Mytilus edulis: one gene and its partner. The protein of the gene in region 2 purifies or fractionates together with the protein of the main gene of each other region. This does not show direct contact. Links are inferred from orthologs where the notes say so. Each region holds a gene or a part of one and is shown on either strand. Other genes may lie near its edges.

Region 1 (3,762 bases), on a different chromosome or scaffold from region 2:
TCTATTATTGATTATAATCATAAAAATTATATCACCTTTAATTGTAATCCCTTTAAGTCGGACACTAAAGGCAATTAAGAGATTAAATAGCTGTTAATTGCCCTCAGGGTGATAACTATTTGGATGCGAATATCCCAAGCTGACACTTGTGACATGACTAATACCACGTGTCTGCAATCGCCAATTTCGCCAAGACAAGACAATCACAAAACAATTCGAAATCTACGTTTTGTATTACGAAATTTCAAAGATTGAAACGATTTTTTTTTTTTAAAAGGTCGTTTATTTGTGCAACTCTCCAAAAATTACTTTCTTTCTCTTCCGGTAATACGAGAGCGAGAATTTTGGTTTAGAGCTAAAATAAGTTTAATACTTCTTTAAAAAGTTATCATAATTGGCTTAAGTTTATGTTTAATCCATTTAATACATTAAAAGCGTCTTATTCATTCACAATCTCTTGTCAAACAATGTTTATTCTCGGACTAATTTTCGTAAATTTTTCTACGGCCGCCATTGCACATTAGTGTGTAAACTACGGATCGGAACCGGAACAGATATGACAAAAATCCGCATTTTCACGATAATGACAACAGATGGACAGTAGACAGAAAAAATATACCAAGAGAGAAAACTACGCATTAACAGACTATTTGTTAGATAACTTTGTTAAAAATACATATCATTTTGATGTAAAGATAAGAAACAACTGGGACTAATTCATTGAGTGCCATGAAACAATGAATTTCATAAACATGATAAAAAAAAGTTTTTAAATTGATTTTTTTTTTGCTACTTTATCTTTACTTGATATAATATAAAAATAGTTAATTTTGTGTACTATATATTTAGTTTTGTATATATACAGGTTGATCTATAATGAACCATTCATTCATTTGAGTAAAAACACAAAAATACTGAACTCCGAGGAAAATTCAAAAAGGAAAATCAAAAATCAAAAGGCAAAATCAAAAGTCCAAACACATCAAACGAATGGATAACAACTGTCATATTCCTGACTTGGTACAGGCATTTTTCGATGACTTATTGTTGGGTAACTGAAAACACATATTTATTTTTATTTGGCACAAGAGGAAAAAAAAAAATTCTGTAACTATAAATGAATAAAGAAAACATGAACTGAAACAACTGTTTTTGTAGTTATAGTTTAATTGTATTCTCAGTTATGAATTGAACAATATAAACTAAAACATATAAAGGAAATAGAGCATCAACGCAACGCGCCAACGACATTAAAAATAATAGTTATTTTTTTCTACGCAAAATGTGATGCTATCCAAAATTTCTGGGGAGAACACTGAGGGGCATAACTAGGAAAACTTTGATTAGCATTTTCCTGTGATGATTAACTCAATCATTGACAATACACCTAATAGCTATTCATTCCATTCCGGATAAGTTCTAAAATTACACAACTTTTTCATCCAGTTTAAGCTATCTGGGACCCTGTTTAAACAATTCACCATGCATGATACTTTTTAATGAGACCTTTTTAAACTACTGTAAATACTTCAAACAAAATATTTTTCTACTTTAATTTTAATTTCGAAAAAGAGGATCATACTCTATCAAAGTTTCTAGATGATCGCTTTCTAAAGTTTTTCCTCCCTCAGCTCACTACTAATGACCTCTATTTTCAGTGGCTTGACCCAAACAGCAAGATGTATAAATGACTGTTTTTCCCGAATTGGACTAAATAGCGATATGGTGTATTGAAGGACAATCAACTTAGGAATTTGTCCCCATTAGACAGACAGGCTGTTGAACTGACTGTGTAAATCCTGTACCTTCAAGTATTCATCGTCTTTCTTATATAGTTTTACACACATCCATGGTATATACCTTCTTTTGTTCTTTTTCTTGGGGACTCTGGTTTCACTGAATTTTCTTGACTATCTGCATCTTTAGAACTTCTAAGACGAGTTGACTTTCTTACAGGAAATTCTAATTTTCTCTGAACAATTGCAGACATTCCTTAGCCTGAAATTTTAATAGAAACAATAAATTTCAATATCACATTTCAGTGCCCCCTTTCATTAATCAAACATCCATATCCATCATGCCACTGTTCGGTTTGGGAATTCTATCACGATGATGAACGCTTTCCCATAAAGAAGTACAAAATAGCAATGACCAATTATCTACAATTGATTCAATATTTTGACAGAAGATCAAAAAATGCTTTGCAACCCGCTGATCATTGATGATATCTGATGAGTCAAAATATTTCTGCCACATAAAGAAACTGTTATTTACCGTATTTGTTATCTGGACAGTTAGTTTCAGTGCTTGCTAATCATCAATAATACTTTCATATAATCTTAAACCAGTTATGACAACGCTTGGTACGGACACTTCCCTTGTTTTATGTTCAATGATCCAGTAGGATGTACACAATAAAGAAAGGTAAACAAAGTTGGCGGGAAATTTATGTATGAAGCGATTTGATTGGTCATGAAAAGTAATATTTTTGTTAACTATTGTACAGAGTCGTAGCATACCTGGTGAGACGTATTTTTCTTCTGAGACGACTATAACACAGAGATTGTGATATAGAACTCCCAGCTTCCATATTTATAAAGAGAAGTCTTTTTTTAAATAAAAACTAACATTTAAATACTTCATTGATAAAAGAAATATATTGGTGATATATTTAAAATGGATTAAATTTGATTTTTTAAAACATATATATATGACATTGAATTAAGGACATTGAAGACGAATGTTTGGGGAAATTTCACATGCTTTTAATTAGTCATATATTTTATATTCTTTTATTAAAGTTGACTTTTGTTTGCATCATCTTTGAATATTTGTGTGCTCTCCCTGGAAATTTTGCAATACTGACTCTTTAAAAAATAAATGGTTGAAAATGTGCCGAAATCCGTTGAATTTGGGTTTCATTCATTTTGTAGAAAGGCGTTGCATGTAAATGCAATTTCTTTCTAAAAGATAAAAGTCAAGTAGCATATAAACAAAAAACATTACTAGTCAGTTGTAAAACTGGGACTTCTAGATAACTGTTTATAATTATCTCAGTTCAAAAGGACAATACTGAAATTTGGGAATAAACGTCTACATTGTATTTCATTTTGCCGGAGGTTAGATCATGTAATTACATATTTAAAATCTGGTTTTTATATGTCTCTGTTTAAAGTTATGTAATTTGCTTATTTTTAGAAATGATTAGGATCAAGAATATATGATATCTCTGAAAATATATGTTAATTTTTTATCACGGGTGTCATTCGGTTTATCGAGAGAATTGATCGTTAAAGCCTGAATACCTTAGGGTGGGCAAGCATTAAGTTTGGTTTGGCCATGATCGTGAAAGATCTGGTACCAGATCGAAATCAAATTTAAATTCTACCTCAAAATATGTGGCCGGAAAAAACTAAAACGCGGAATAAATCAGAAAAAACAAATATGTCTGTCAAAATGATTCAACTTTATCAACAATACTGTGCAAGAAGATAAAGAAAATATGCAGTACTTCATGAGAAAAACACAAAAGGCGCAATACATGTCTAAGGGATTCATTAAAAAAAATCACACGAATTTTTGTACCTTTTATGGTCGCATTCCAATATATCATGATATATTTGAAACTTAATCTTTGGTGTGACCAAAATAAAAGTACATGTATGCTCTTCCATTGAAACCGTTCATTTGTTCATGAAAACCTTGAATTTTGTTGATTTTTCATCGACTTGATCGTGAAAGATTAGACAACGTATTATTTTG
Region 2 (3,762 bases):
GTTGCCAGAACATAAATGCTGCCACGCCTGATCCAAGTTCAGCGCCATCCTTCAGATACTGGAATATCTCTGTTTTATCTTCTGATTCCAGTAACATTAATGTCCTAGCTACACATACATGGATATTTTTGTCTTTTGTCTGAAATAATCAATATTCAATGTTAAAGGTTATTGATTCAATTGTGTCATTTGATTTATATTCAAAAGGCACATTCAGTGCTGATAAAATAAATGTTTTACAACAATAATTTTGTAGAAAGATACTACCTCATTGACAATTATCGTAAATCAACATTCATTCATATTTGACTTATTTCCCCTTTTGTGTCATTAACTCAAGAAAAATAAAATGCAAAAAATCAGATTTTCCAAAATTAAAGCAAGCTGATTATATGTTTAAAATGTCCATCATACTTTTCCCCATACTTAAAAATGGTTTGAAAGGTGTTTCACAATAATTAAACCTTATGTCATGAAACTGTAAACATCTCAGACCATTGTCATGAAAATTTCAGTTAATCCTCTGGTCAATTTTGGTCGCAAGATTTTTTTTTAGTAATGCGCTGCTGGTATTATCATTCCTTACCGTTTTAATAAAATCTTTCATGTATTTGAAGACACATTCTTTGCAGCAAGCACCATTAACAGACCATGGCGGTCGTATAAACAGCCATGTAAAAGGATCTGTGTTTGGACTTAGTCCTTCAATTCTACAAAATATATCTGCTGCCTTCTCTCCATTGTTGATGGTCTTCTTTCCTTCCAAATCGGTAGGTACTGAAACAAAAAATTAAATCATATATAATTAAGCTTTCAAAGTATTATTTCATTATCTTTTACTATTAGCACACAAAAAAATTAATTTGTTTTCTTGATTTGGAATTGTTTCAGAAACCAGAACAGACCGGTATGGTATTTTTGGTCAGAGGAAATAGATGAGGCAAAACTAAAAATTATGTGTTGATTGTCTTTAACCTAAACTATAATATTTATTTATTTAGTTTTTCAAACCCTATGTGCATATTTCTTAATTATAGCTTGTACATAAAAACAGCTCTACCATATTGCTTTTCTTTTTTAATCTAATCATGAATTGTTTGTTTAATTGATTTAAGTTACATTTTCTTTTCATCTGTTCATTTTCTTTTGTCAAAACTCTGTTTGTTATAACAAAAAAATATAAATGAACCTGCTATTTTACGTCATACATTGTACAAGTTTTTGTCAGAAGAAATTAACACCTTTATATATAAAATCAACAAAGGGAAGACAAATTTACATGTTCATTTCACACCCCATGTCCTGCGTAAACAAAAAGGACAAATATATAAATAACTTTGTGATAAAAAGGTCTACTTACATCCTTCATTATAGAGGTAGGCAATGGCCATTTTGATCAATGCTTCAAGATTTCCCAAATCTCCAGCTCTGAAAAAGAAACGAGGGTTTAATATATATACAGTGAATCACTACAGCATAATAATTTTAATAGAATAAAACTAAATTATGAACTTGAAACATCAAAATTTCTTTCTATTAATCTATGTTACATATATCTTGAAATGTGTATTCATATGCATACTCTGTCATTTCAACCAGAGTATAGGGGAATGAAACAACATCATCATGTGTAGGTGTAAAAATAACTCATTGCATTGCAAGTCTTCATCATGACAGTTGCTGATGCAGTGTTTGTACTCAAATTATAAACTAGTTCAATGATACTTACTTCTCAAAATGTGGAATGTTTTTCAGTGACGGCCATTCATCTTGAAAACTTGTGGAATTCCAGATCACAGAACTGTTTTCTATTAAATCTTTAAAGTATGGGTGAACCTGGGGAAAGAAAACACTAGTTATTTCAGAACTACTTAAATTGTTATTATTTGTTTTATGTGAATTAATACATAAATATTGAGTCAATGTAAGCAAAATTCTATGCATTCTTACAAAATGATATGAAATTGAAAAATAAATAATAAAAATATTTTGAAAATTTAAACTAACTCTTAACTAACTAAAGTTTTGTGACATGTATCTGAGATGAAGCAGACTATTTGTTGTTGTACATAAAATTAAATCACAATATTATAAAAATATACTTTACTTACAGCTCTCAAATTAAGAACATCTCTGATGTGTAATCCTTTAATAATATACAGCAAAAGTTCTTCAGGTAAATTCCATATTGTCATCTGACTCCGTGTTCTTGGACGAAGATGCATGTGGACTGGGATAAATGTGTTTGGAGACTTTTGAAATTTGCTGAGTGCATTTAGAACTGTAAAAAAATAATGAGCATACATGTAAATTGGTTACAACGGGAAATATGCATGCATGTAATTTAAGTATTAAGTGATTTTGCTGTAAAAAATAAACATTCATAGAATTCTAAAACTTTAAAATTTAATTTTAGCACTTGAATTACAAATGTACAGTAAACATTTGATGCATTTTCATAATTTTACAATGTTGCTATATTTTGATTATGAATTATAAAAGTACTTACGAATTTTTACAAACATGGTTTTCATATAAGGAATGTCAGTTATGATAAAGTTCAAATAAGATCCACATCAAGTATAAGTTATGCAAAATTATCATGAATGTTGAAAGTTTATTTTTGTCATTGAAACATCGATACCGTGAACCTACCATTTATTTTTAGTAACAAGCAGGGTGTCCCCGCTTTTGATTGGTTGTCAATGTAAACAAGCCGGCACTTGCAAAGGTCGATAACCAATGAGCGATTTGAAAATAAACGTGTTTCAATGACACTAATGAATGCTATTCATAATTTATTTAGCACAAGTCTGAACATATTCATCGTCGTATACACCTGTTATCAACTAATAATTAGATAGGTAAAAGTGTTTGATACATGTGATAACAAGAAATCAATAAAACAATAAAATTGTTCGATGAATATCAAACATGTTTATCATTTTGTCTTCGACAGTTCGACTGGACTGGAGCCAGTGGATGTCAGTTCACAAGTTTTCGTCACTTAACATTCTATATTCTTGCAAATGGCACGTCAAGTATGTTACAATGACCGTCAATCACTTTGTTTACCATTTAAATTTACGATAAGCCTACTCAAATTTGGATCACAAGCTGGACCCTTCCTGCATTTGACTGCTTGATGAGTAAACAGAATGCACTCGTCTTTGATGGACTATTGTGATTACTTAAATCTTTATATATCATTATATGGATACGAAGAAACATTTTCATTACCCGAAAAAAATGGATTTTATTATTTTTATCGTGAAAGTTGTAGAGTTCAAATGTTATGATGCATTTTCAGTAACATCGTTTATAACAAAATTAATTTTTGAAACACGCCTTGAAGAAACCGTTATTGAATAGCACATTTAACTCTTCTTTTCCAAAAAGATCTATTTTCTTATGTTGTTATTACTTTCCATTGACAAACTTTCAAAAATTTAAACCGCCCATAATATTTGCCCTGTTATGACCTTTCACTTTCTTTTCTTTAATTTTTATAAATGGCATTTTTTATTGAACATGTAACTTACCTTTCATTACTCTGAATTGCTATAAATTTCATAAATTTAGGCATAAATACGTTATCCAAAAGTTTAAACTCCGAAAAAGTGATGCACCCTATCTTGTCAAAATTAAACACCAACAATCCGAATATACTCGACGCTGATTGGTCAAAATTGTTACACTCGTTTACAAACGAGAGGAAATGGGCTTTCCCCGCCTTTGTGATGTTCATTCAAATATTTAAAA

The links. Proteins that work in one complex are often made in the same cells at the same time.
Region 1: the proteins of cyclin-F-like (region 2) and cell division control protein 6 homolog purify together in Homo sapiens (affinity purification with western blotting; 4 studies listed by BioGRID and IntAct, with this or other methods). This does not show direct contact. The link is inferred for Mytilus edulis from reciprocal best matches to the Homo sapiens genes CCNF and CDC6.

The regions. Positions count from the first base shown.
Region 1 is NC_092357.1:50,690,381-50,694,142, reverse strand, and holds the start of cell division control protein 6 homolog, read right to left. Parts: upstream 2,441-3,762; 5' UTR 2,275-2,440; intron 1,999-2,274; 5' UTR 1,991-1,998; coding exon 1,861-1,990; intron 1-1,860. UniProt on the Homo sapiens protein: Involved in the initiation of DNA replication. Also participates in checkpoint controls that ensure DNA replication is completed before mitosis is initiated.
Region 2 is NC_092352.1:40,408,425-40,412,186, forward strand, and holds the start of cyclin-F-like, read right to left. Parts: upstream 2,667-3,762; 5' UTR 2,535-2,666; coding exon 2,510-2,534; intron 2,282-2,509; coding exon 2,112-2,281; intron 1,837-2,111; coding exon 1,730-1,836; intron 1,429-1,729; coding exon 1,361-1,428; intron 778-1,360; coding exon 587-777; intron 140-586; coding exon 1-139. UniProt on the Homo sapiens protein: Substrate recognition component of a SCF (SKP1-CUL1-F-box protein) E3 ubiquitin-protein ligase complex which mediates the ubiquitination and subsequent proteasomal degradation of target proteins.